4 linked regions of the Arabidopsis thaliana genome follow. The protein of the gene in region 1 interacts with the protein of each later gene in a pairwise test. Each region holds a gene or a part of one and is shown in the gene's direction. Other genes may lie near its edges.

Region 1 (8,119 bases):
TGTTCCTTTCACCATCATCCCTAATATAGTAAATATTTGAGACATAAAAATATCAGTTTCTTTTTTTTGAAGATTAATGTTTAAATACTTTTGCATATATTAATTAATAAAGTATTGGACATAATGGAAAAAAGCTATCCAAAAACTATGGATACTATGGTTTTGGAATGACTTTGATCTTTAACACTATTTGACAAGGTTTTGATATAAAAATATTGAATTTGCTATTAAATAATTAAATTTAGCTATTTAAGTGAGATATAGAATTGACATTATTCAGATAGATTGCATGTTCTTAATATCTAATTTTATTTTCATATGATAAAATATATAAATATTTTTTAAGAAAATATGTTTGTAAATCTAACTACAAACCTATTGCAAGGACGATGAAGATAGTTAGAATGGTTGTTGATAGTTGACTAGCTTTCTTCATCTCATATACTCTAAACAAATTGATGATGTTTTTTTTTTTTTTTTTTTTTTTTTTTTTTTTTTTTGTTTTGTCAGATGATGTTTTTGGTTAATTTGTTTAATGAAAAAGTGAACAAAATTTAAAGTATATATAAGAAAAGTTAGATGTGTCTATTTTTTTAATGATACATCTTAGATCTATCACCTCCTGAAATTTAGGTTAAAAAAACGTGGTTCTCCATTAATTCCATTTTTTTGTTAAAGGATTGATTCCAATTTTTTTCCTTATCTAATTAAGGAGTCTTAGAAGTTAGAACCACACAATAATTTCAGTTAACACCATTAAATTACAAAAAAAAACTTTTTGATGGGTGATTTAAGTAAGAGGAGAAATTAAAAAAAAGATATATGTTCGCCTTAAAATTTGTTGAAACAATGTGAAATTCAAAAATAATAATAAAAAATCAAATGTATTTCGGAGACTGCATAACTCGTCTTTGGATAATACATTAATACCATACATTTTTTCTTTTATTCTAGTCTCTTTTCTATATATATATATATATATTTATTTATTTATTTATTTTTAAAAACCTATTTAGATAAAACATAGAAGATTTTAAAGAATAGAATGTATTTACGACAAAAAAAGAAAAGAATAGAATGTATTTACAGCAAATGAAAGTAACATACATAATTACATACAAAAAGCTAGTAAGAACCTTCACACCAAAAAAAAACTGGTACGAACCAAACTGATTTACCAATCAACAGAGCCGATCCTAGGTTGTGGGGCTTAAAACATTTTTAGTATGTGGTCTTTCCAAAATATACTAACAATAAACGTTTAATATTAATAATCTATAAAACATGAAAGGGAAAAAATACTATAAGCATTATCTGAACGTGAAACAAAACAAACACTATAGAAACGTGAAAAGAAAAAAATTGCTAAGAAAAAGGGTAATTTGCAGCAAAAAAAAAGAAGGAACGAAGTAAGTAGAAGTTGTGGTCGTTTGATCCCACGATCAAGGATGGGTCGGGCCTGCCAATCAACAATAGAAAAATATATTGTGAAAACATTAGCAATGAATTGTCACTAGTCCAAACAGATTACAACTTTTCAAAGTTCTTTACACCCTCATAATTTCTTGTTTTATGCATCCAACTCTATGGTTTAGCATATGTGGTCCAGTTGTAGGAGGGAGCTTTGGTAAAGGGTTTTGTTGTAATCTTAAAACTTGGGGCCTATTTATAGAAGAAAAAAAATAATTGAGGGCCTATTTTGTAAAGAAAAATTTTCTAAAACTTTGGGAATCACATTCAATTGTTTCTCCTTGCTCCGTTGAGTTACCGCACTAATGCTCACTACTAGCAAACACACTCTTTCAGTGCGACAGCCTCATGAGCTTGAAGTTGTTTAGCAAATCGGTTCCTACCAATGTACTAAACCGGTTATATAATCTGATTATGTATAACCAAACCGGTTATTGTATAAATGTCCAACCGGGGTTCACGATTCTACCGTTGTTCCGCCTAATTCTGATTTGTTAAACGACGAGAAATTTCTTATGGAAGTTAGGGTTTCCTGGCCGTTGATTGGTTCGTTCCCTGTTACCTTGTTCCATTCCAATCAGTTCTCGTAGAGCTTCTAATGTCACGGCTCGTGATGGCTTCTTCAATTCTTCGAGTGGGAGGATGCGTAATCCATGTGCCAATAGCAGAGTCGTGCTCAGATTGTACCAGGGGCGGATCTAGGTGTATGGGATGTGGGGCACGTGCCCTACATTAAATTATAAGTATTAGCTTGTAAACTTATGCAGTTTAAATGATTCAGCACAACTGGTTAAGTGTTTTCAATATTCGTCCATCCTTACCCAGGTTCGAGACTAGTTGAAGTAACTTTTTTCTTTTTTTGACTTTGCTCATTTTTTCCCCCAATTTTATCAATTTAATCACTTATTTCTTCCTTTGATTTATGAACATCCACTTTTAACTTTCTTTTAAAATTTCTTTATTAATTGATTAGATAGTATATGTGTATTGATATATTTCTAAAATGTTTGATATATCTATTCATTTACTTTTATGTGAAAATGAATAACAAAGTTATATGAACACAATTTCATAGTTTTTTTTTGGGTACCTATATAAATTGTGAGAAACAAATTACAGAATTTATTGAACTACATATTTTATCACAAACTTATAGTTTAATAACGAATAGTATATATAATAATTTTGATAAAAAATAATATATAATAAGTAAATTAATAGTGCCCCAGATTAAATATTTTTCTAGATCCGCCACTGGATTGTACCATGGAAGCGTCTGATGGAGTTGTCTTAATTAGACATATGCCAATGGAAATGTAATGCTGTCCGACAATCGTCTTGATGCTTCAAGTAGCCTGTATTTTTTTTTCCGTGGGGGTTCGAAACTTGGATTCAGTCAGGTCATTCTTTAATCTTTACTTTAAACCCATTGTCAACAATGCCTCTAGTAAAACAATGGTTTTGTATTACTGTTTGTGCTGAGAAAGTAATAAGATAAGCTATTGAAATTGTCAAAATATTACTAATTTGGGTCTTTGGATTGCTCAATTTGTTGGTTATTTAACTCATATCACTCTGCTTCGTTGTGTTACGTTGAGGAGATTCATTCAACAAGCATAGTGGGCGTGTAGTCTGGGTGCATCTCACATCATTAACATTTTTGAAACTTCAACATTCTTTTAATAAACATATAACACATCAGCTCATTGCTTTGATTGGTTCTCTGATTTTGTCTATGCTCTGACTTAGCTTTTATAATGCCTTGGATATTTTAAGTTTGACAACTTGCTGAGAGAACTCAATTGCTATTTAACTGATATGAAGTGTACGGATATGTACATACTAACCCCAAACACATTTGTAAAATCATGAGAAAGACCAAGAAGATTTCCTTTTTGATCTTCTGGGTTGTTCTCATAAGCATAATTGGTGCTATTTCTTCGCAACAATGCAACGAAACTGGGTATTTTGAACCTTGGAAAACTTACGACACCAACCGTAGGCAGATCCTTACATCTCTTGCTTCCAAAGTGGTGGATCACTACGGCTTCTACAATTCTTCCATCGGCAAAGTTCCTGACGAAGTGCACGTAATGGGGATGTGCATCGACGGGACCGAACCTACGGTTTGCTCCGATTGTCTCAAGGTCGCGGCCGACCAATTACAAGAGAATTGTCCTAACCAAACTGAAGCGTATACATGGACACCTCATAAGACGCTCTGTTTTGCTCGTTACTCTAACAGTTCATTCTTCAAGAGGGTTGGATTGCACCCACTTTACATGGAGCATAGTAATGTGGATATCAAATCAAATTTGACATATTTAAATACGATATGGGAGGCTCTAACGGATCGTTTGATGTCTGACGCATCCTCGGATTATAATGCATCATTATCTAGTCGTAGATATTATGCAGCTAATGTAACAAATCTGACAAATTTCCAGAATATATATGCATTAATGCTATGCACTCCTGATCTAGAAAAAGGTGCTTGTCACAACTGTCTGGAAAAAGCTGTTTCTGAATATGGCAACCTTAGGATGCAAAGAGGAATTGTTGCATGGCCAAGCTGCTGTTTTCGGTGGGATCTGTATCCCTTCATCGGAGCTTTTAATTTGACACTTTCACCCCCGCCAGGTAATTCCTCAACTAAAAGAAAAAATATGATTCTAAGAACGTATCATTCTGCTAAGTTGCTGACCAATAGTTTGAGAAAGGTTTGAAACAGATTCAATCACTGGATGATGCATTTTCTCTATTGTAAACTATCCTCTGTGATTCTACTATGCCCAGGTAGCAAAAGGAATATCTCAGTTGGATTCTTTGTGGCCATTGTTGTTGCCACCGGAGTTGTCATCTCTGTGCTATCTACTTTAGTAGTAGTACTTGTTTGCAGAAAGAGAAAAACTGATCCTCCAGGTGAGTTGATTCGTATTTTACTCACTGATTTCTTTTTCTTTAAGAACAATAAGGCATGCATGCTTAATCAGGAACACTGCATGATGCCGGGACAAGGGAATTTTAACTAGGAATAGTTTATTCAGTTCAATGGTCAACTATCTAAAACTTCTTATTAGCTAACCAATGTTTATTAGAAAAATGAAAAACTTTGGTGAATATGAAAACATATCATCATGGTTTAGATTTGTTATGTGTACGTACTTCCATGTTGCAAGGAATAATATGACATTTCTGTGTAGCAGAGGAATCACCTAAATATTCACTGCAGTATGATCTTAAGACAATTGAAGCTGCAACATGTACCTTTTCAAAGTGCAACATGCTTGGTCAAGGTGGATTTGGAGAAGTTTTCAAGGTAAATCTTCTCAACTTCCATTAATGAATATAGGTGGTGTGATGATCTTATTCTCTTTATTATTTGTAGGGTGTGCTTCAAGACGGATCAGAAATTGCAGTGAAGAGGCTGTCAAAAGAATCAGCTCAAGGTGTACAAGAGTTCCAGAATGAGACTAGTCTCGTGGCAAAGCTTCAGCACAGAAATTTGGTTGGAGTTCTCGGGTTTTGTATGGAAGGAGAAGAAAAGATACTCGTATACGAATTTGTTCCCAACAAAAGCCTCGACCAGTTCTTGTTTGGTATTTTGCATATAACACTCAGCTCATAGTTTTTGAAGTTCTAATGATGAAGTTGCAGTTCTTGAAACTTATTTTAATTGACTTACACAGAACCTACAAAGAAAGGCCAACTGGATTGGGCGAAACGGTACAAGATTATTGTTGGAACTGCTAGAGGAATTCTATATCTTCATCATGACTCACCCCTCAAAATCATACACCGTGACCTCAAAGCTAGTAACATCCTCTTAGATGCTGAAATGGAACCCAAAGTCGCAGATTTTGGAATGGCAAGAATTTTTAGGGTGGATCAATCTCGAGCGGATACAAGAAGGGTAGTTGGAACCCAGTAAGTACCCTTTCTTCTTTTTTGCCTTTCAATCTCTGAAGTTTTGATGACCTTTTTGTCACTGGTAAACTCAAGAATTATTTTTTGTTTTCTTTCTAGTGGCTACATATCTCCAGAGTATTTGATGCATGGCCAGTTCTCGGTGAAATCTGATGTCTATAGTTTTGGAGTCTTGGTTCTTGAGATTATAAGTGGAAAAAGAAACAGCAACTTCCATGAAACTGATGAATCCGGAAAGAATTTGGTCACATATGTGAGCATTAAAAACTAAACTTTGGAAAGACTCTACTTTTTTAACCATGCAATGTAACGTAAGGTTTTGACTACTAGTGATCATTGTGGTAGGCTTGGAGGCATTGGAGAAACGGATCACCATTAGAGCTTGTGGATTCAGAACTCGAAAAGAATTATCAGAGTAATGAAGTCTTCAGATGCATCCATATCGCGCTATTATGTGTTCAAAATGATCCAGAACAACGTCCGAATTTATCTACTATCATCATGATGCTCACAAGTAACTCCATCACTTTACCGGTGCCTCAGTCACCGGTATATGAGGGAATGGACATGTTTCTACCTTCTATCAAATCTCTTCCTGGTTCTGTCAACGATTCATTGATTGATGACTTAGTTCCTCGCTGAAGATGACAGTTACTTCATATCCGAGGTGTTTCTATAATTTCTCTTAGCACTTTTTACTTTTGTTGTGTTGAGTCATACAGTGTTACTAAAATACATTGAAACTCTCTCTTACAGGGTTTCCTCTGTTCAAGCGAAGTTCGAAGATAAGCTGACTCAAGCAGGTTTTATATAACTCAAAGATTGGTGTTTTTGAAAGTTCTAACCGGAAATCAAATTGGTTTGTATGATTTTAACCGATTTCTGTTTACGGTTTTATAATGATGTCTCCTTGGCTATCTTTTGTTGGGGTTTGAATTTGTTTCTTTTGTATTGGTTGGAGGATTGAAAACTAATGTACATGTAAATTTTGGCTAGTCAAGTTTGGCTGCTGACTCCATTTGTCTCCAAATTTGGTCTGCTGACTTCTATAAGGTCTCTCAATTGGCTAACTTAATGCACGTTTTCCTTTTCTTTTTTTTTTTTTGTTTGGATCTCTGCAAATCTAATGTAAAATGGAGCGACATAACATGGGAGTTTTCTGACCAATTCACACTCTACTTGCTTCTTTTTTTGGCAGCACACTCTACTTGTTTAGTTATTATATTGAGTATTATGAATCCATATTATTGGTGGGGAATGGACATTGTGGTTTTGATTATTACTTCTAACTCTTTTTTTTGTCAAAATCAACGGTCCTATCTGTCATGGAAAATCTTCGGAGGATAAACCTTCTAACTTTGAACATTTAACACAGTCTTTGGTTCTGATCTTGAGAGAAGAAACTCAAGAGTTCATTTGTTCTAATCTTTTGTTCTTTCCTTGTAAGGTTAGATGTTGTTTCTGCACAAGTCTGCTTCAATAGCTACTTTAAACCCAATGCTACTTACGACTTAAACCGTCGCCTAATCTTTTCTTCTCTTGCTACTAATGTCACAACTCACAAGGGATTCTATAACTCCTCGATTGGTCAAGACCCCAATAGAGGCTTCATCAATAGTATGTGCATCCCTGGGACTAAACAAGAGACTTGTTCAGATTGTATCAAAGGCGCATCAGACGGCTTATTAAGGAGATATCTTAACCAAACAGAAGCTTAGACATGGCCAGATTGTTGTATGGTACGTTATTCCAACATTTCTTTCTCTGGATTTTGTTTGGAAGGACAAGAAAAAATAAACGTTTACGAGTTAATTTGTACCTAACAAAAGCCTTGACTATTTCCTCTTTGGTATGTTATGAGCTTAGATACTTTTAAGTTCCAAGATGTCCTTATTGTTGCTAATGAGTCATATACTTGCAAATGTACAGACCCTGCAAAACAAGGTGAACTAGATTGGACAAGACGGTACAATATCATTGGGGGGATTGCTCGAGGAATTCTATATCTTCATCAAGATTTACGGCTTACAATCATACACCGTGATCTCAAAGCGAGTAATATTCTCTTAGATGTCGACATGAAACCCAAAATTGCAGATTTTGGCATGGCTAGGATTTACAGAATTGATCAAAGTCATGCCAATTACACAATTAGAATCGTTGGAACATAGTGATTTTTTTTTTCTCTTAACTTATAACCTTACAAATACAAACTATATTTGGTGGTTACTTCTAGGCTAAAAAGTCTAATCCTTATTTGCAGTGGTTATATGTCTCCAGAATATGCAATGCGTAGTCATTTCTCCATGAAATCTGATGTCTATAGCTTTGGTGTAATGATTCTAGAGATTATAAGTGGTAAAACGAATCGCAGCTTCTACTACATTGATGGTTCTCCTAGCAATTTGGTCACTCATGTGAGTATATGATCGTTCAAGTTATATGAGTGTATATGATTAAGCCAAAGGATATTAATTTATTTGATCACTTTTGTTAGGCTTGGAAGCTTTGGAGAACAGGGTCACCTTTTGAACTTGTGGATCCGACAATGGGAGAGAGTTCTCGGAGTAACGAGGCTATTATTAGATGCATCCATATCGCACTTTTATGCGTTCAAGAAGATCCTGTAGATCGACCAATGTTGCCTGCAGCAATAGTCGTGATGCTCACTAGTAACATAGACAATTACCGTTTGCCTCTCAAACATGAATGACCAATCCAC
Region 2 (8,012 bases), on another chromosome or scaffold:
CCCATCGACGCCAGGGTCACATACTTTATAAACCGCTATTCTTGCAGCTGGAACGCCACCTCTTGCGGTTCCATTGCCGAGGCCGTAAAAGCTCACATGCTTCACAGCATTTCCAGCAGCCGTGGATGCTGTGTGCGATCCATGTCCCATGTAGTCCCTCGCTGACTCAGGAAACCCCTCTAGTTTGGGGGTGTAGTACCGTGCTCCAATAAGCTTGCTATAAAACAAACAAATCATCCACATTCATTATAACTAAGCAATTGAAAAATCCTTACACAATTTAATTGTATGATCAAATTTAAGAGTTTTATACTTGTTCCAAGTGAAGTTTTTGCCGCCTTTGCAAACACCTTTCCATTTTTTAGGAGGAGGACCAAAGCCTTTGCCACTAAAACTATCAGATTCCGGATAGATTCCACTGTCGATGACACCGATGATTGTATCACTCTCTATGATAGTATTTCGCTTTGTACGTTTGCTTTCCTTGAGGCCCATGAAATTCCATGACGTTGTTGTTTGGAGCTTCAGTTTCTTGTTAGGAAACACAGACACAACTTCGTCCATACCTAAGAAATTAGATATTAAGAAATAGCAACACATTGAGTTAATAAAGTTTTTTCATAGAGAAGAAAACTAATTTGAGTTTTGATTATTATTTTTGAAAACTTTCGGGTCGTAATCCATTTATGTTCACTTACTTGCTAGTATCTCTCTTTCGGATTTGGTTAGCCGGGCTGCGAATCCGTTGAAACTCCTTTTATAATTCCTAACCAAACGATCCTCGATCGAACTACAAATAAGAAATACATTTGTTAGACTTTGATCGATAGACATGAAACCATATACAAATAATCACATTAACACTAAACAATAAAATTGAATAAATTCAGTGCACCTCTCTCCGGTGACATCTTGAAGAATACTAGTGTGATGGGACATAGGCATGTAGTCAACACGAGCAGGAAGTGCACCCATGTATACTATATACTCCTACAAGTATCATCATCATAGTTATGGTTAGTCATTAGTAATATAATTAGAACCATGATATGATTATAATAATCAAATAACGAAGAAGGATTTGTGCAATTACCTGTTTGTCTTGATCATCTTTGTCTGCTGAAGCGAAACTCACAACAAGCAAGGCAAAGATACATGAGAGGAGACAATAGGAGACAGCAGGTTTTGTCATTTTTTTGATTGATTTGGTTATAATCAAATTTTACAAGATTGTGAGAATGAAAGGATTATTATAGGGAGAGATACTGTATGTACATAGAACGTAATCAAAGTCCTCATCAAACTCCTTTAAGATTTGTTTCTCAAATTATTCTTATATATTAATGACAGTATAATGTACTTTCCATATTAATAGGTTTTTGAATGCACCGTTTAATTTGCTACCGTTTCTTGTTCTACTAATCCTTGCATCATCTTTTATTTTTCTTTTACTTGTATTGTTTGTTCATGAATATAGAGAAAAATATTAAATAGAAAGAATTTTCTTTGACTTGATATTTATTCTCTTGACAAAAGAAAAGATTGACTAACCACTAGAAGTTAATTTTTTTTTTATTATGACTAGAAATGAGTATAATTTGGGCAATTCAGAATGATGGGAAGTAAGGAATGTATATTCTGAATTCGGTTTATTAATTATGGCAGCCTAATCATGGGTAAGAGGTTCATCATTTGACCTTACATGAACGAACGAAATATTCTCCACGCGAATATTTTTTCTTAAAAGTACTTTTGCAGGCGATGTATCTAATTAATTAACCTTTCTAGAGAGGTAACAAAAAATGTACCAAAGAAATTAAGAACTGTATCAAATATTATCCTTAAAATATGACCACTTGTGAAAACTCTATGTGCATATTCACATTTATAGATTTAATTTAGATATTGTGACTAAATGTACTCTTAATAGTTAGGGTGAATTATCCAATAGAAAGCAAATATAGTATACAAATAGATGTATGCAATTGTATGTATCGGCTCCTCTTTCGTCCACGCGATTGCCTTCTTTTGTGCTGTATTCGTTTAAAATCAATAGCAACGTACAATTGCGTCAAGACTAATCAGCAAGAATTGCGTCAGGATTATTCATAACCTAAAGTAATAAATGTTTAAATAGGTCAAATATATACTTTTTGAAAATACGTTACGGGAGTACATAACACCATATATTCTAGCGCATGTAATTTCTGAGTCGAAAAGTTGGAGAGTTGCCCAAGAACTAGAACATGACATTGATGCGGAGGAAGAACCTGAAGTAGTTGAAGCTTGTGAGTATGCGCACGTTCAAAGAGGAGAAGCTATGTGCCAAATTGACGCTTCGTGGACTGGTATTAACCAGAATGTTAGTTTGGGGTTCATGTTGACTAGCTCAACGACCAAGCTGTTTGGTCAAAGTAGCCAGAATTGTTATCGCAATGCCCTCTACGCAGAACTCGGAGCTCTTCTTTGGACAATGGAGTGCACTTTACAACAAAGTATCCAATCTATACATTTTGAAACCGATTGCTTAAGCTTACTTAAGATCCTTGATGAAAGTAAAGATTGGCCGGTGGAAAAGATTTTGCTAGATTTAAAGCTAGTTTTGGTCGGTTTTCTTTATCTCATATTCCACGCACTATGAATGTCCGTGTTGTCTGCCTCGCAAAGAGTGCAAGAGTACGAGGTGTACTTTTTTCCCATATAAACCCTCTCGTTTCGGAGTAGTTGGCCCACGAAACTAACTTTTTCGAACAAATTTAATTATTTGATGTTTTTGCGATAAAAAAAAACAAAAAAAAAACTTGGTTTATTAGAGGGCACAAAATCAAATTTATAACAAAATGAAGTTATTACGTTAGGTTGAAAAAAAGTATGACGTTTCAGGGATTAATAATTTAGCGTTAATGACTTAATGGTCCTCATCTTCATCAGATTAGAATGTAACATTCTATATGTGTCGCACCAAAAGACTAGTCTCGTCCTCTATAGCTATTAGCCTATTACCATCGCAATCTCCGACGTATTTTCCACTAGACTTGTAGCATGTTGCCTTCTAAAGCCGCCACATGATCCACTACCATCTTCATTTGCCCATCGGCCATCGCCACCAGAACCACCACATTGTTTAATTATATTATATGGATCAGAACTATATTCTTACAAATATTATGGGAAGTTGGGAATGTAGTGGTCAATTCATCACATCCTCATTTCATTATTTTCTTCTTCTATTAAAGTTGTTAATTCGACATTTTCAAATTGACGTTGCTTATTATCATTACCACACTCACAAATACAATCATTGCTCTTTAACGCAATTATAAAGCTCAAAACTACATTTCCAATAATACCCCTTGGAACATGCTCTTACTTTTTGCCAGCCTGCTAACGAATCATTAGTTGCCACATCAGCACGATAACTGAAGTCTTTGTCTTTTTCTCAAACGCGACGTCGTTTCTATTCCCTGACACAGAGATACGTATAGATACACCGTATATTCACTTTATTGCTCCTCTCCTCTTTCTCACGAAGAAGAAGACGAAGCCCATCAAATTAAACAAGAAAAATTCCATTTTCCTCCATTGATTGTGAGTGAGAACAAACATTTAAAGCTTCTTACTCAAAGTTTCTTTCTTTATAGATCTCAAAAAATTCGATATTTTTCTCGATTCATCCGCCATTAAGGTACACGAATCGTTTTTCGTCTTCTGAATTACTTGTGGGTTCGTCTTAATTTCGTTGGATCTGGGTTTGATTTTGGAGAAAAGTAATAAAGTTTCTGTCTTTTTTTTCTTTCGAATTTGTAGGTTTTATTGCGAGATCGAAGAGAGAAGGAGAAAATGACGCATAGAGTAGATCAGGAATATGATTATTTGTTTAAGATTGTGTTGATTGGTGATTCTGGTGTTGGGAAATCGAATATCTTGTCGAGATTCACCAGGAATGAGTTTTGCTTGGAATCTAAATCCACTATTGGTGTTGAATTCGCCACCAGAACTACTCAGGTGAGATTCGAATTTTTCTCTGTTTCTCTCTTTAAGTACTTTAGGAGTGAAATTCAGAATATTTGCTGTTAGAATCAGAGTAATACGAAGAGATAGTAATTTAGGTTTGGTATATAATGTTAAGAGGCTTAAAGATGGGATTTTGGGATAGGTTTTTTCTTCTTATTAGCTTGTCTCTGTTTTGATTTATCTTTAGCTATAATCCGTGAAGGTTTTTACTTTCACTGCTATACATAGATTTACCGTCTTCAGTTATGTATTTTGGTTTTGCTTGTAGCTTCATGACCACATTAGTGTAGTGTATATTTCAATTATGTAATTTGGTTTTGCTTGTAGCTTCATGACCTCATTAGTGTAGTGTAGAATTCAGGTATTCGATGGTTAATTTCAAGTGATGGCTCTAGAGCTTTTAGTCTGTTTTGTTTCGTTTAAAGTTGCTTCTTCGTTAGTTTCTTTGATTTGGATAGCAATTAAGTGATAGGTCTTAAGGTTTTTGGTTGCGTTGGTTTCTTAAGATTGAAGAATACAGTGTTTTGAGAGAGTAGACGGCGGATTTTTTCTCAGCTACTGAATCTTTTGTTCAAGAGAAAAAATCTTAGTTGTGCTGGCTATGAGTTATGACAGATGCTTTTCTCATTTTAAGACTATAAATGGATGGTCGTGAAGGCCAATTAAAAAAAATAAGAAGATTCTCACAGCTTGTCTCAATAATTCATTCTATTTCCTGATCATTTGTCATGCTTGACCTTGTCCACCTTTATACTTTCGTAAAGTCAACCGATAAATTTTTTGACAAGAGGAATTCTATGATACACTTATGTAGTTGAATGCGGAAAGATGCATTTAAAATGTTGATTGTTAATAATGTTACTAACCTGGTTTTAACAACTGAGAAGATATATGTTCTTTACTTTTGATTGTTGAATTAGCATTCTTATTCATAAACCTGGGAATGCTTCAATACCTAAGATCTAACTGGTTGTTACGGTGAATCTCTCATGCATACACAGGTTGAAGGAAAGACCATTAAGGCCCAGATCTGGGACACTGCAGGTCAGGAGAGGTACAGGGCGATCACAAGCGCGTATTACAGAGGCGCAGTGGGTGCACTTCTTGTCTACGACATTACTAAGAGACAGACCTTTGACAATGTTTTAAGGTGGCTGCGCGAACTGAGAGACCATGCAGATTCCAACATTGTGATCATGATGGCTGGGAACAAATCCGATCTGAACCACTTGAGATCCGTTGCTGAGGAAGATGGTCAAAGTTTGGCTGAGAAGGAAGGTCTCTCTTTCCTGGAGACATCTGCTCTTGAAGCAACAAACGTCGAGAAAGCGTTTCAGACCATCTTAGGTGAGATCTACCATATCATAAGCAAAAAGGCACTGGCTGCACAAGAAGCAGCAGCAGCTAATTCTGCAATCCCTGGGCAAGGAACTACGATTAACGTCGATGACACATCTGGAGGCGCGAAACGAGCATGTTGCTCTTCTTAAACTAAAGGTAAACTGTTTATTTCGGTTGCTCCTTGTTCAGAGATTCAAACTTTTGTTTTCACTGGCTTCTCTTCTTTTCAAGTTTTGGCTGATGAAACGTAACTATGCAAGACTATGTAGAATACTCTGTTTTTATTCTCTTCGGTTTGGGGTTTGTGTTCAGTTTAAAGCTTGTTAGTAGTATACTTAGAATCTTCTGGTGCTTGCTTGCTTTCCCTTCTTCTTCCCTTGGTGTGTTTCTATTGATTTCTGGTTTATAAAGTATTTTTTCTATCTCCGGTTTAGTCCGGTTCGTCTTGGCTTTGTTTAATCAAATCATTGATTCCTCTCTTATCAATGTATTGTATCCGGTTCCAAAATCCTCTCTTCATGTTACACACTGACAAGCTTCTACCAAAGAAAATAAATTTTAGTATTACGAAAGAAAAAATTGTTGACAAACTAATTTTGCTCCATCTATTATCACAAATAAAAATGCAATTGAACTGCAGTTACTATCAAATAATGGCTATGGTTTTTTATTTTGTTTTGAACCGACCAAATTAAAAGATGTTTTGAATTAATGGTATTATTTTCAAGTAAAATAGAGGAAAGTGACGACGATACATGGAGACAGAAAAGGAGTGATTGAGAAACCGATAACAAAAACGTCATTGTAGCCCAACTTGCAAAAACTAACCAATTGCATGCATGAAAGAGTTTATAATAAATCATGGAATTTTACATTGTCAACGTGTGAGGTTTTTCTTTTTGGACACAACCCAAAAGGCCTTTTAGTTCTAAATTGTTTCATATTAGAAAATTCTAAGTTCGGAAATGCTATACATGAAAATTCTTGGTGATTTCTAATGAGCAAAATAACATGAAAATTCTTGGTGATCCATTATATATATTTATGCGCCGAGAAACCATTCAGAGAAACAATAAGGAAGATAGTAAAACCTCATCTTTCTAATCGATAACTTCCATATCCTTCGATTAAAAGCTTTTGATCAATGCATAGTCCAAACTTTATACTCACATATACTCACATACCCATAATTTAGAATTTAGATCTCATTTAAATTGATAAGCTATTTTTGTAGTTATAAAATACATAAACCCATCCAAAATATTATCATTAAGACAAAATATTAGAATAGGTATATTAAAATAGAATAATGAGAGATAACATTTTTAAGAAATAAACAATAAAGAATCAATGCATAGTAAAAATGAATTTGTTATCTTGTAAATACAATATAATTTTATCGCCTGTTTTGAGCCTTCTTGCTTCTATATTATTCCACCCTGAGCACATAAAATATTTATCATGGTCTATTTTTATTGTTACCCAGTAACTCTTGTTATTCTCTAAAACTTCCACTTGAAGACCACTTGGAGGCATTACAAAATTTTCTATAGTGCGTAGTATCTTCTCTATCTGCAATTTTGGTTAATATAACCTACCCATGTGGGAAAGATCGGTGTTTGTAAGAACTTTCTCTAACATTTTATTTTGATCCATATCAAGCCAAATCACTATTTTACTAAACTCTTAACAAATTTAGAAATTTTAAAAAATGTTTGTAGAAAATAAAATGTTTGAAGACTGGAGCTCTACACATATGTTTATATATAGTTCTCGGCCAAACCAATGTGCTTTGTCTTCAAACCCTTTAACAAAAAAAAAATTGTGCTTTGTCTTCAACTTTTAAAAAAAAAATGAAAAAATTAATTTGTCCAAAAAAAAACTCTAAATGTAGTCAATTATATGGATATATATTCTAATTTTTGTAATATTAAATGAAAATATTTTCTAATATGTTATGTTTCTAAATTTTTACACTTGTTACCAACTTGAAGATTAAACTAATTATAGTTTTTTTCTAACATCAAATTAATTATTAAGCAAAAAATTTCTTATAACAATCTTACTTTTTTAGTCATTTTTATTTTAAATTTCTTCCAAAATTTAATAAAAATCGATTACATTCTTTAGAAAAATAAATTCAGTTAATACTATCAAATTGTATTATTTCAAAAACACTTAAAAATTGCACACTTGGCAGCTTATAGTTTTCGATTGATGTACTTTTTACAATAACTCTTTTTTAAAAAAAGTTTATAACATCAACAAGAAATTTAGTAATTAATGTTTAATGAGATTTTCTTTTATAGATTTTTTTCATTAAACTTTACAAGTCGACCATGGCATTGTCCCTATGGGATCCACTAATATTATAAAGAAAATCTATACAAATTAACCATGAATTCTATATAAACCTTTTTTTGTGAATATATTTATGAAGTTTGTGAATATTTAATATTTTTTTGTTTGACCTAATAATAACAGCAGAAATCGACGTCGATACGAAAATATATATATATATATATATATATATATATATATATATATATGAAAAAAATGAAAATGTGTCATTTATCTAAAACGAAAAAAAAGAAAAGAAGAGAAGCTTTTTTAGTTCTCTCTGCCCAATGGAGAAAAGAAGAACCAGAGATTGCCAA
Region 3 (7,044 bases), about 10 Mb from region 1:
AAAACGAAAAATGTGGCAACACGTCATTGTTTCAAATATTTACTAAGTTTTCCTTATATAGACATTATTACATCTCAAAAAATCATCTCTTCAACATTACCATTTACTACTAGATGCAAGAGATAATAACAAGATAAAACAGAAAATGTGGCGACACGTTTTTGCCTTTCTTTTTAATTCTGTTGTGTAATTTACTCATAGTCAAATAAGTTATCAAGATATTATATCTTTTTAAAATTTAATCGGACGGTTATTGAGGCATCGAAAGCTATCACCAACATAAATCTATCCACGTGGACGGTAGTCACCTATCAATATTCACGAAAAGGCAGCGTTTATTGAATTTCTCGTGATATATCTGCTGACGTGTATAAGGCCCCACAAGATTTATGTTAAACGTAAAATTAAAACTGTAACAGAGAACTTTGGTTACCTATATAAAGCTCGCTCTTGCTGTTTCATTTTTTCAAGTAGTAACTGAAATCGAATTCATTTTCTTCTCTTCCTTTCTGGGATTTCGATTTTTCGTATTTTTTTTTTGTTCTGTTCGTCATGGTGATGATGAAGAAGCTTTTGTCGAACCGTTTGTTCAATATGTCAAAAACGGCGTCGCAAAGTCTCATGAACTGTCGTACTTCGTCTTCTTCTTCGTTAGCCATGCGAACTAGGGTTCCTAAAGATATAGGAGAAGCCACGATTGATCCAGAGCCTGGAGATTTGACGATTTCTCAGAGGTTTTTGAATAAATTCTCCATGAATGGGATTGATACGACTTCGAAGATGTCTATTGGGGAGAGTCTGATGGAGAAGCTTAAAGAAATGGATATGAACAAGGATCGGATTCGATTAGACGGACTTTCTCATCCGAAGGAGGAGACGTTAGGGCTTACTGTGCAAGACGTGAAGAAGTTGCTAAGAGCAGCAGAGATCGAAGTTATTAAAACGAAGCTGATGGAGACAGGAAAAATCTGGATTCGTTACTCAGATTTCTTAGGTGTTTGTAGTGATTCTTCTTTGGATCCTTCTCAAGGAGCTTTGATCGCTAAGATGCTTGATGATTCAGGAAACGTTATCGTTATGGGAAACTCTGTTTGTTTAAGACCTCATCAGGTAACTTCTTCCTCCTCTTTGCTTTTTTTTACCATTTGAATTCTTTTTTGTCTATGCAATTCTCTGATAAGGTCTTGTGTGTTGATCAGTTAACCAAATCCATAGAGGGGCTTCTTCCTTTATCACAAATCCATAACCCGAATGACCCAAGAAGAAAGGAGCTAAATGAGCTTGAAGCTATAAAGACGGTCATTGACCAAAAAGCACATTCTTTGGTGAGAAGAGAGCTTTGGGCTGGTTTGGGTTACTTGATCATCCAAACCGCAGGGTTTATGAGGCTAACGTTTTGGGACCTGACATGGGATGTTATGGAACCGATCTGTTTCTATGTCTCATCGGTATATTTCATGGCGGGTTACACATTTTTCCTCAAGACATCGAGAGAGCCTTCCTTTCAAGGTTTTTACCAAAGCAGGTTTGAGGCTAAACAAAGGAAACTGATGCAATCTGAGGATTTTGATGTTGGGAGGTATGATGAGCTGAAAAAGCTGTTTAATCCCAAGCCTTCAGGTGCTGTTCCCAAGATTCTTGGATCTCTACAGAATTGATCATTGGTGTCTCGTTGTCCTACTAACCTGAGAAAGATATATTGACCCCCAAAATTGTGTCAAACTATAATTTTTGAATATTTCATAATCTTTCTAGGAAAATAGGAAAAAGACAAAAAAAAAAAAAAAAAGTTCTATTAGTGCGGCTTATGTAATTTGGAAGAGTAGATAAAAGAATCGATTGTGATGTAGATTTATAAATTTCAAGTCTGACTTTCTGAATGTTAAATGTTACAATACTTCCATGCATATGCATATGAGATATCATTACTTTAAACATGTTATCTATACCAAAAACTCAACAAAACCTTGTCATTTGAGGCCTAAATCTTAGTTGAAGCCAATTCCGAAATTAGTTTTAGTTTTAACTTAAATGATTTTTAGTTTATAAATTAAACAAGTATAACATATGCTTAATGATTGTTTCGGCGGGCTTACATAAATGATTGATAGAACATGTTATGCGTGGGAGTAGTCGTTGTAAGTTCACCGTCCAAGTCTCCTTTTAATTAATTCACGAGAAATCAACTACGACCGTGTAAATAAAATACTTAGTTTGGTAGGTCAAGAATCACTTCTGGAAAATGAGACTAAAGAAAAGAGTCACTTGTGGAAAATACTATCAAGTGGACAAAACCAAATTCCTCATAGTGAAAAAGAGATATATTACACTGTTCCTGCCGCATTTGTTTGGTACGTATCTAATATTTTTGTTTACTCACGTGGTACTATAACGCTTATTGCCAATATAACGATTAGGACAATTTGATTTCTACTAATTTTATTTGATACGTATCAAATATCTTCTGTCTTAGCTGGTCATCAAATTGTGTGAAATAGTAATTTAATACTAACTCGTTACTGATTACTGATGTAGATTCATCTTCGTAACGATCGCCCGATCCATATTCCAATATTTGCATTTTGTTTTACGTAATGCACTCTTTCTCATCTGTAGCTCCTTGAGTAAAACTTAAAACTTAACCATGAAGGCATCTGTAAATTGACGCTTGTCTGAATTTCTCAACACCAAACTCTCTTTCGTGTCTAGAGGTTCTTTGGTTTTCCCACCTGCTTTTCGATTATGGTAATGGTCAACTTGACGCGTACCAAGTTTTCTGATCTTTTTGAAGATATTTCAAATATGGTTTGCTATTTCGATTTTCGACAATAACAGTAAAACCCCATTAAGACCATAAATCTTAAAAATTTTCATAACCGTTTTACAATATTCATTTATGTAGCCAAATTAAATTTGTCACGTAAATGTGACAATTAATATTGGTCCACATCATTTTGCTTTCATGACAAGACCGGCCATTTAGTGACCTACTGTATGTTCTACAACAATTATTGGAAAATGGAAATTAAATATCCCAACAAAAAAAATAAGAGCAGAAACAGAGATTCACTTTGCGAAAAAGTCGCACGCACACATATAAAAGACAGGACTAGAGGAACAGAGGAAGAAGAAGAGTCACTGTGATCACCACCACCGTACGATCAAATTCAAACTATGTCAACGGCTCTGATTAACTCTATTACCTACTTCCTCTCCGAACATCCATACATCGTCGGATTCCGTTGGAGTAACAGCCAATCATGGGGCTCCACGTGGTCTTTCCTCTTCACATCAATCTCCCTCTATATCGCCGTCTCATCCTCCCTCCACATCCTCCTCTCCGCCGTACGCCGAAGTAACCGTTCCGTTCCTTTAGGTCACATCCCCGAAATCCACAGCCTTCTCATGTCGATCCTCTCCGCCACCATTTTCGCCGGAATCCTCCTCTCCGCTGCCGCAGAGATCCGTGACACACGGTGGTTATGGCGGCGGAGCAAAACCGCCACTCCTCTCCAATGGCTTCTCTGTTTCCCTCTCGGGACTCGTCCCTCTGGTCGTGTCTTCTTTTGGTCATACGTGTTTTACCTCACGCGCTTTCTCCACATGTTCCGTACGATTTTCGCCGTTTTACGTAGCCGGAGGCTCGCCGTGTCTCAGCTCTTTTGTAACTCCGTCATGGCCTTCACGTCTTTCCTCTGGCTAGAATTCTCGCAGTCGTACCAGATTCTAGCGATTCTATCGACGACTCTGGTTTACTCGGTGGTTTACGGTTATAGATTCTGGACCGGGTTTGGTTTACCCGGTTCGGCTTTCCCTTCGTTTGTGGTGAATTGTCAGTTGGTTCTCGTGGGCTGTAATCTCGTGTCTCACGCTGGGGTTCTTACGATGCACCTCTTTAAAGGTGGATGCAATGGGATTGGCGCGTGGGGTTTAAACTCGGTTCTCAACGGTGCGATTTTGTTGCTTTTTCTTAACTTTTATGTGAGAATGCATTCGCCAATGCGACGCCATATTAATAAAATGAATAGCCAACGTAACGCTTAAGAATTAATTGATCCTTTTTACTAGTTTTTACTTTTTACTCAATAAAACAAATCTAATCTTCTTTTTTGTCTTTCACTTTTAAAACTGAAGTATAATCTAATTTGTTTTCTAATAACTAAAATGTTCTGCGTCTAGGTCTGTACATCTTCTCAAACCGGGACAATTTTTTTTTTATAAACCATCGATCTCTGACTTTGCATGAGATATTTTACATTTGAACTATTGGCTCTTAGTTAACGCAATCTAGTTCTTGTTTTTCATTCTTTTAAATCTAGTTTTGTGTTTTTTAAGTGGAAAGAAATTATGTCGATTATTTATAAATATATCTTTAAAAATATTTATTTATTTCATAAGAGGTTTTTGATCCAAAGACTCAAACTTGGGGTAACTTTATGACGTAGATATACCACAATACCCACCAAAATGTGGTGATAGAGGAAACAAAGGTTTACATGGTGGATCATGGACGAGGATGATCAAAAGCTTATACTCTTTACCAAGTGAAAATGCATTTTGGATAAGAGGAAAAATTATTAAAAGCGAGAAAACATAATATGGTTTGAGACTGATGTGTTAGATTGTAAGAGCTGCAATTGTATCTCTCTACTTGGGGACACACTTTTGATTTTCTATTTACCGTTTGAATGCCGTATAAGGAAATGTACAGGTCAAACGAATATGGTCGAGTGTTCGCCTTAGACCATTGTATAAGGAAATGAACTATGTCGACTATATTTAATATTTGGGCCTAGTATAATATTACTACACTTAATCAAAGTTAAGGCATTTATAACTGTAGAACAAGATGGGCCTAAGGCCACGGTTTTCTACTTAACTAGGCACACATATGACATATCCCATAGTAAAAAAGCTTACATAATAAGGCCCACATCTGAAATCTGATTCTCCACTGTAAAAATAAAATCCTCTTAAGCTCTCGATCGATGGTTCTGCAATCTCACAAACCAGAAACAAAGAGTCCAGGCTCTTGCAACCAACCGCGGAACTTGTTGAAAGGCGACGAGGAGAGAGAATTTCAAATCTCTCCAGATCAAAGTGAAACACAAGTACAACAAGTAACCGACAAAGTGAAGCGCAAGTACTTGTTTCTTTCCTTTTCCTTTAATATTTGTTAATTTGAGAAAAGTAAAAACCATAAAATATATATAGTTTCTGTCCGAATCGGCCTATCTTCACAAAATCTCGATTCCAATCAAGAATTTATGGCAAGAAAGGTCGATCAATCAATCAGATGATTATGGATCTAGAGATCTCTAAATTTGTGTTGTTGTGAATTGAGAATGCGAGAGCATTCGACGATGTACAATTACGCCCCCGAAGTGCCACCGCAAAGTAAAAGGAAGAAGACGATGAATGAGGCGTCTCCGTCGTGGTCTGGATTACCGGATTCTGTGGCTGTGAGTTGCATGGCTCGCGTCTCGAGATTGGACCAAACAGCCTTATCTCTCGCTCCAAGAAATACCGCTCTCTCGTAACATCCCCTGAGCTCTGCAGCACGCGATCGCTGATTGGTTGCACTGAGCCATCTTTCTTCGTCTGCTTGCGCATCTTACCTGATCCAACCCCTCGCTGGTTCGTCCTTACGGGTAGTCGTCGACTGAGGCCGGTCCCATCGCACCCCTATCAGGCTCCGGAATCATCTTCTTTTGTGGTAGTGAATTGGGGGATCTATGTTATGTAATCGGTGGAATCATAAACGGCAATCCCACTTCCGATGTCTTGTTCCTCAACTGTTTTTCTCAGACATGGCACCGCGTCCCGTCTATGAAGATGGCTCGTGCTTCCGCATCGGCAAGCCTCATAGACGGGAAGATCTACGTTTTTGGAGGGTGCCCAGAGGACGCTGATTCCTCAAACTGGGCGGAGGTATTCGATCCAGTTTACCAAACTTGGGGTATATTTAATACGCCGAAGATGGCCCATAGTATCAACCAAAGTGTGGTGATAGAGGAGAAGAAGGTTTACGCCGTGGATGAGGAGGACCAAAGCTTTAGCTTCTTGCCAAGTGAAGGTAGAATCTGGAAAAGCGGAAAAAAAGATTCTAAGGTAGGAAGTAGACACGATTGGTGTGTCATTGGGAAATTACTATACTGTCGTGCTACTCGCGGTAGAATACTATGGTGCCAACCAGATGAGTTGGACTGGAAAGAGGTAAAAGGTTTGGAACAGCTACAATTGTATCTCTCTGGTACAAGATACATCTTCAGACGTACCTCTGATAAACGACCGTCAAAGACCAACGTCAAATATGATATTAGAAAAATCTCTAGTAACTCTGCTGGGAACATTGTCATCTTCGGGAACGCACATATTGGAGACCCTGAGTGTGTGGAGCTTTGGTCTGCCGAGATTTCCATGGAGAGGCGCGAGGGAGGTGAGATTTGGGGGAAGATTGAGTGGTCCAATGTTGTCTTCAAACTTGATCCTCTCTCAAACTCATATAGCGTTGATGTCTTATTTTCTGCTTCTGTCCATTTGTGATATATTCATTCCAATATTTATTTGTATTGCATATTACTCAACGAATCAGATTGTGGGATATAAGCATATAGTAGGCAATTAATCATTTAACAGTAACAACATAACAGTTAGAGCCTCTTTCTTTTAAGAGGTATGTGGTGGAATTTGATGCTGAATTCTCATTAATGACTCGTTACCAACATAACAGGTAAAACCAACGTATCTTGACCCTTCTAGAAGCTAAGCCTCTCTATGCTTGTGCATCCTCAACTGCTATAGCAGCATGCATGATGCTTCAGCTGCTCATGAGTGTGTAGGAGCTGCAGAAAACTAATCTTGGACTCCTCCTATAAGGATCACACCCAAGGAGAATCTTGGTGACCAGGTTTTTGTGTGGAAGGAAAATGCTGCTTTTGTTGCGTATAGATTTTGAGGAAACAGAAAGCAGTTTTAGTGAACATATAATAATTAGGTTTTATATGCATACACTATGAAATCAATAATACTTAAGATCAAAAG
Region 4 (6,923 bases), on another chromosome or scaffold:
TTTCCTTTTACAGTTGAAGATTCCCAGTTCCTATTTAAATTTTCTCTTGCTTTGAAAGTCTATGTAGAGGATATGCATATTGAGTTTAAGCAAAACATCAATTAGATTAAGTTTCTTCAGACTTTATCTTGGTCAAGTTTTTCCAATTCACGGAACTGGTTGACTAACAGTATGGTATGTCTGTGTGCATTGGCAGTTGTGAGGTTGATGAGCAGAAGGAGCAGATGCAAGCCACCAATTCTATCTCAGTATCTGAGAACTTTTCACGTGAAAAATTGAATTCATCTCCTGCAAGGGGTACTCCAAATTGCAACTCAGTATGCCGAATTTCTACCGCAGAAAGTGAAAATGCTATGCAGAACAACAGTTATTACAGCACCAATGTTCAGTATGGTGAGAACAAATCATTAAATGTTGACACTGTCAAAGAAGAAAGCAAAGTTGAAACAGGCACAACTCAGGTGAAGAAAGTTGTTAGTTCTGATGTGCAATGCACTGTTGAGTCTTTTGAGACTGCACTTGACTCATTGGTGAGGACAAAGGAGACCATTGGCCGAGCAACTCGCTTGGCTATGGACTTGGCGAAATTTGGCGTTTCAGCAAAGGTATGAAACGTTCTCTCTGCTTGTGATCTTGTCTTATCTGTTTGTGGATGCCACATGTTAATTAGAGGTGGAATCCAATCGGAGACAAATTTCTTCTTATAGATTGTTAAAACATTGTACCTGGATCTGTCCCATGCTATATACCTATTTGCATTTATCAAATAGTTAATTGCGAGAACATGTCAAATTGTCAATACCAACTTTATGTATTACTACGAATTAGAGAAACACCTTATATATATTGTTTTGTCTACTGATTTTAGGATGCTGTAGGCATCCAGCCACTCTTTTCAAGCAAAGGACTAGGGCAATCCTTATTATCTTATCTTACCGTTTTAATGTGGAAAGGGACTTTTTGCACGGTGCTTTTGTGTAATTTATAAAACACTATTTTGCAGACTTTTGTCTAATGTTGTTAATGATGCTCTAAGAATCTCTATGTCTAAAATTAGGCGATGGAAATTCTGGCCCACACTTTGGAAAGTGAGTCAAATTTACAAAGGAGGGTGGATTTATTTTTCCTTGTGGATTCTATTGCTCAGTGCTCCAAAGGTTTGAATGGTGAGTATGCTGTTTTTGCTTAGTTGCATCATTGATGTTCTCAATGGCGAGTTAACTTTGTGAATACTACCTTTCTATTCAGGTGATGCTGGTGGTGTTTATCTTTCATCCATTCAGGCTATGCTACCTCGCCTATTAACTGCTGCTGTCCCAGCTGGAGCTACCACACAAGAAAACCGAAAACAGTGCTTGAAGGTATGCGATTTTAGTTAGATATTCTTTTTCTTATGAATACTAACTCTCACCCTTTCTGCTCTTATATAGGTTTTGAGGCTTTGGCTTGAAAGACGGATCCTTCCTGAATCTATAGTTCGTCACCATATAAGAGAACTTGATTCGCTTAGTAATGTTCCTGCTTGCCTCTATTCTCGGCGATCCGCTCGAACAGAAAGGGCGCTGGATGACCCTGTTAGAGATATGGAGGGTATACTGGTGGATGAATATGGAAGGTGAGAGTTGAGTCTAATCAGTTTTGGGATCTTGATTTCTTTATCTCTAGGGTCATAACTTTTTTCACCTTTTTGTTTCAGTAATTCAACTCTCCAGCTTCATGGATTCTGCATACCTCCAATACTTAGGGATGAAGACGAAGGAAGTGACTCGGATGGGGGTGATTTTGAGTCTGTCACCCCTGAACACGAGTCAAGAAGCCTTGAAGAACATGTCACACCGTCCATTACCGAAAGGCATACCCGTATACTGGAAGATGTTGATGGTGAGCTTGAAATGGAAGACGTGGCTCCACCTTGGGAAGGTGGAAGCAGTGCTAGTGCGATCACAGATCAAGCTGATAATAGAGAGTCTGCAAATTGTCTGCTTGTCCCTGGAACTTCACATCAGAATGTTACCTCGTCATCTCCACCAGCTCGCCCTTCGCAGAATGCTCAGTTGGCAATGTCTAATTCCTACTCAAATGGCTTTGACTACCGCAGAAATCCCAGCATGCAGGTGCGTCCTTTTTCTTCTTTTAGAATCTTTTGCAGTTAACAAAGTGAGGATTCAGACATAGTTAATAACTTAATTTGTGGTTAATATTCAAGGGCGACTATCATGCCGGTCCTCCAAGGATGAATCCCCCAATGCATTACGGAAGTCCTGAACCATCTTATAGTTCCCGAGTATCTTTGTCAAAAAGCATGCCACGTGGGGAGGGTTCTAACTTCCAGCATAGGCCATATCCATCTTCTCATCCCCCACCTCCTCCGCCATCACATCATTATTCATATATGGAGCCGGACCACCATATAAAGTCGCGGAGAGAAGGTCTATCATACCCTCACAGATCTCATTACACACTGGAATTTGACGAAAGGAATTATCAAGACAGCTATGAGAGAATGAGGCCTGAACCATGCGAGAATCGAGACAATTGGAGATATCATCCGCCCTCTTCTCATGGTGGACTCCGATACCTTTTTTTTTTTTTTCCTTATAATTCTCATGCATGCTAATAGGCATATATGAATGCATATATGAATGCATATCTGCGCACACAAGCACTTGCTCATGGATGCTAATAGGCGTGAATGCTTTTCTTTTTTTTATATTGCAGGTCCACGATATCATGACAGACACAAAGGACCTCATCAATCGAGCTCATACAGTGGGCATCACCGTGACTCAGGAAGGTTGCAGAACAATAGGTGGAGTGATTCTCCGCGTGCATATAACAATAGACACTCTTATCACTATAAGCAGCATTCGGAAGGTCCTGTTCCAGTAGGAATGAGAGGTAATATGGAAATTCATACTTGTTCCACGTCATGAATCAGAGCCTTTTCTTATACTGGAATTGTTTCCTAGGTTTAGAAACTCTGACATTTTCTTTTGACTGGGGATTTTATATCATTAGGTCTCTGAGATTCGAGATTGTTTTGCTTGTCCTGTGGGTATATCTTGAATATAAAAATGAACTTGGAGTATGTTTGTGGATATGCAGATCCAGGGACGTGGCATCAAAGGTGAGTGGGAGACAAGAGATGAAGAAGGGCAAAGGTGCAGTCTGCTCTAAATGAAAGACATTTGGGCTATAGTCATGGAAAAGAAGAAATAGGGAGAAACAAGTGTAGGTTGGAAAGACCTGGGCCACTTGAGAGAGATGTTAATATACAAAAGAAAAAAGGCACAGTTGGTGTGTGTACATATGACCAAAAACGTCGTGGAGAAGGCTAAAGAAACAGTCGTGAAAAGCCATTTGTTGTAGTAGAGAGAGAGAGATTTGAGTTAGGCAATACTGTCACTGATTTAGGCATTTGATATTTTGTAAACAAAATTTTTTGGTTTATTTTTGGGGAGTGGTGGTAATACACACTAATATGCATTTCTGTCACCTGGAGAGATGAGATGTCTCTAAAAAATGGTCAAAGAGGCGATTAATTAGTTAAATAGCAAATGGAAAAAACAATTAGGGATGGGTTTGTTTGTTACCAAGGAATTAACATAACAGCTGTAATGCTGCTGCGAGATAAAATGAACAATGAAGAAGCGGAGACCTGTTGACTTCAAATAATTTTAATTAGTTTCTTCTGTGCGATAGAGATCGATCGAGAGATGGGTGCTTCATCATCATCATCTGTGTCGGAGAAATCAATCCATCAATTCACCGTCAAGGTTTTCTAATTTATGAATCCCTTTTCTTCATTGTTTGTTTATCTGATGAATGAATGCGTTTCTGACTTGTTTGTCTGATCTATCGGAAATTAGGATAGCTCCGGCAAGGAGGTTGACCTAAGCGTGTATCAAGGGAAAGTGCTGCTCGTCGTCAACGTCGCTTCTAAATGGTCCGTCAGATCCTCCGATCATCTTCTCTCTAGTTAATTATTATTTCTTGATTCTAAATTTTTTGTTAACAAACAATTTGGGGAACAGCGGATTCACGGAGTCCAATTACACCCAGCTGACGGAACTTTACCGGAAATATAAAGATCAAGGTCAGACCATACAAGAATATTAGAATAGGAATGTATATATTCCTTTCTAATAAAGAAGACTCTTCTTCTTTTGCTTTCCCTTGTTACTTCATCGTTTATGTAAGATTTTTTGTTTTGGTTTCCTTTGGATCATCATCAGGTTTTGTGGTATTGGCGTTTCCTTGCAACCAGTTTCTGTCCCAAGAGCCTGGCACCAGCGAAGAGGCTCATCAATTTGCTTGTACTCGCTTTAAGGCTGAATACCCTGTTTTCCAAAAGGTACCTCAACAAACAAGACACTTTTCTTCTTCATATGCCTTTAATAGGTAGCTGATTTTGTAAGTTTATAACTAAGCATGAATGATCATGATCATCTATGTGTGTGTGTAGGTGCGTGTAAATGGACAAAACGCTGCACCAGTCTACAAATTCCTCAAATCTAAGAAACCCTCTTTTCTTGGAAGTCGTATCAAATGGAACTTCACCAAGTTCTTGGTCGGCAAAGATGGTCAAGTCATTGATCGTTATGGCACAACTGTTTCACCTCTATCCATCCAGGTCTCTAACTCTCTTGTTCTTCATATTCTATTATAAAATCATATCACTCTTTTATGGCTTACTTCATGTTTGTTTTCTGCATAACAGAAAGACATCGAGAAAGCCCTTGCACAAGAATTGTGAACACGCACAGAGATATTTGACTCCTTTGGAAGAAACTTCTCTCATACTCTCGGTCATGCAGTCAAGTTTCTACATTTCCCATTGCACCTTCCATATGGGCCTTGTATTCATCTTATGTGTAACTCTACTAGCCATTTCTTTTGTGAAATTTGATCAAAGGTGATTCCAATAAGTTGATTTGAACCCATAAAAAAAAGAAAAAAAAAAACTAATTCCAACAAATACAAACCACCAGCTAAGCTAAAGATTAGACGAAATCAGCAAGATCAAAATAAAACATCAATGATTTTCACTCAAGAGAACGCCTATAACAACGTCTTAGGATACCAAAAGACATTTTAGTCTATCTATCACTCTCACCATTTACTTTTTATGGTGCAAATTACTCAGTTTCGACGATAATTAATGTTTAAATCTGTCTCATGTGTTCAATGAGAACTTCTTTCCATCTGTAATGTATCGATTATAAGTGGCGTATCACTCTCACGTGCGCTGTTTGTGAAACGTGGCAGACAATTGAAGAAATAGAGAGTACAAAGGAGAAAAAAGGAGTACTTAAAAGGAGACCTTGACCACTCTTTCATGCATCCATCCTTCTTCTTTCTTGTCTTATCAGTTTCTTTTGCTTTTGTTAGAGATTAGTCAAACTACTGATATTATTAACATTAACCATTTTTATGGCTTTATTTTGTGAACAAACGACCCACCTATCCCATAATCACTAATTAGACATTACAACTAGTGTACTGTCTTTTCCATTTTATTTTTTCTCTGTGTATTATATTTACATTTTTTCTTCTTCTTCGATTAGCACTGGGTATCCCGTCAAGAGTTTTCAAAACCGAAGATAGGGACCAATACCAACTACTCCCGAAAGTGAGCAAGCCCCGAGCTTTCCTCCATGAGTCTACGTGACCCGAACAAAGCTACTTAGTTTGGAGATTTGTGTAGAGCCCCGTCCTTTAGGTTCTGGCTCAACTACCATTGCACTGCCTTTTATTTGCATCGTTTTTGCTATGGTGCTTAATACATTCAAGGGCTTTGGTGTAGCCATTTCGGTGCTTTAGTTGAGGCATAGTGAGAAATTTAGGGAAATTATACAATGAAAGCATACAATTTTCTTCTTTAACAACACAATGAAATTAGAAACGGAAACCCTCTTAATTAATAGTTTAACTGATACCAATTTGGATCAATTCCAAAGCTTATAGTCAATGGCATGAAATGAGTGATGTGGTGGGATGAACGTAACATTCATGCTAAACTCGTAAGCAAATCCATAATTAAGAAGTTGATCGTGATTTATTTAATTACATTTCCTAACTACCAAATTAGAGATATTTAATCATTCCATTCGCACCTAACACACAGCAAGACATAAAGACCCACAAACCACAGGCTCCATCATTAAGACTCATGTGTGCATGAACAGAAGTTTTCTGTTCAAACAATATCCTCACCGCAAAATCAAATTTGAAAACATGATAAGCTTTTTCGAAAAAAGGAAAAAAAAAATGATACCAAATTGTTTCGAACATTTAATCAATGATAGAAACTAAACATAAGGTTTTAGTTCAAAAGCGAAGCTAATGGTGAAAGCATCATGCCTTTTCTTCACACTTAGAAACATGTAGGTCCTCCATATTATTCAGTTCAATAATGTATCTTAATTTTATCCTATATTTGCATTTTAGATTATATCTACCAAATTATCTCTACACTATGTGCCAAATTATTTGAATCGAGTTCGAGTCAGCATGTATACTAGTATATAAGCAATCTATCTCTCTAGCAGCCAAACACACACACACGAATAGTTTACTTTGAAAATTTCTCGATATATAGGATCTCAATGGCAGGGACAGTAGTATTGAGATGCTGCACTAGTGTAACCAAGGTTAGGACATGGAAAAGATGTTCGAAGCAGATAAAGGAGCAAAGGGCTCGTCTTTACATCATCTGGAAATGTGCTGTCTTTCTTCTCTCCTCCCATGATTGATCCATATACATATGATATAATCAATCACCAAATTCCTTTCTTCTTGGTTATGTATTAGTTCAGTTCCAAACTAATTAACTAGCTATTTAATTAAACGTATATACCATAATGTAAATTTTTAATTGTAATCATCGAAAATATCGATACCTACTGTCATTTGGTCATCAA

Evidence for each region.
Region 2: the proteins of CRK33 (region 1) and RABA2c interact in a protein complementation assay, tested with the Arabidopsis thaliana proteins (one large-scale study listed by BioGRID).
Region 3: the proteins of CRK33 (region 1) and HOS3-1 interact in a protein complementation assay, tested with the Arabidopsis thaliana proteins (one large-scale study listed by BioGRID).
Region 4: the proteins of CRK33 (region 1) and GPX5 interact in a protein complementation assay, tested with the Arabidopsis thaliana proteins (one large-scale study listed by BioGRID).

The regions. Positions count from the first base shown.
Region 1 is NC_003075.7:6,975,510-6,983,628, forward strand, and holds CRK33 (cysteine-rich RLK (RECEPTOR-like protein kinase) 33), read left to right. Parts: upstream 1-3,338; coding exon 3,339-4,110; intron 4,111-4,266; coding exon 4,267-4,392; intron 4,393-4,676; coding exon 4,677-4,789; intron 4,790-4,858; coding exon 4,859-5,069; intron 5,070-5,159; coding exon 5,160-5,397; intron 5,398-5,496; coding exon 5,497-5,650; intron 5,651-5,742; coding exon 5,743-6,039; downstream 6,040-8,119. Other genes in the region: LCR11 (low-molecular-weight cysteine-rich 11), read right to left, coding at 1-20, 376-436.
Region 2 is NC_003074.8:17,244,191-17,252,202, reverse strand, and holds RABA2c (RAB GTPase homolog A2C), read left to right. Parts: upstream 1-3,379; 5' UTR 3,380-3,685; intron 3,686-3,807; 5' UTR 3,808-3,840; coding exon 3,841-4,005; intron 4,006-5,015; coding exon 5,016-5,504; 3' UTR 5,505-5,975; downstream 5,976-8,012. Other genes in the region: AT3G46840 (Subtilase family protein), read right to left, coding at 1-217, 314-566, 699-790, 896-990, 1,094-1,192. UniProt on the Arabidopsis thaliana protein: Intracellular vesicle trafficking and protein transport.
Region 3 is NC_003075.7:17,346,337-17,353,380, forward strand, and holds HOS3-1 (GNS1/SUR4 membrane protein family), read left to right. Parts: upstream 1-2,881; 5' UTR 2,882-3,174; coding exon 3,175-3,949; coding exon of another isoform or gene 3,950-4,044; exon of another isoform or gene 4,045-4,291; intron 4,292-4,445; coding exon 4,446-4,597; 3' UTR 4,598-4,827; downstream 4,828-7,044. Other genes in the region: AT4G36820 (calcium uniporter (DUF607)), read left to right, coding at 553-1,110, 1,200-1,658; AT4G36840 (Galactose oxidase/kelch repeat superfamily protein), read left to right, coding at 5,830-6,546. UniProt on the Arabidopsis thaliana protein: Probable very long-chain fatty acid (VLCFA) elongase that controls VLCFA composition and functions to inhibit abscisic acid (ABA)-mediated stress responses, including regulation of stomatal aperture, maintenance of primary root growth and inhibition of germination.
Region 4 is NC_003074.8:23,306,445-23,313,367, forward strand, and holds GPX5 (glutathione peroxidase 5), read left to right. Parts: upstream 1-3,292; 5' UTR 3,293-3,716; coding exon 3,717-3,776; intron 3,777-3,869; coding exon 3,870-3,946; intron 3,947-4,034; coding exon 4,035-4,096; intron 4,097-4,235; coding exon 4,236-4,354; intron 4,355-4,465; coding exon 4,466-4,633; intron 4,634-4,720; coding exon 4,721-4,756; 3' UTR 4,757-4,953; downstream 4,954-6,923. Other genes in the region: AT3G63070 (Tudor/PWWP/MBT domain-containing protein), read left to right, coding at 197-605, 1,058-1,166, 1,249-1,361, 1,431-1,615, 1,697-2,114, 2,207-2,564, 2,719-2,898, 3,106-3,131; RTFL14 (ROTUNDIFOLIA like 14), read left to right, coding at 6,609-6,755. UniProt on the Arabidopsis thaliana protein: May constitute a glutathione peroxidase-like protective system against oxidative stresses.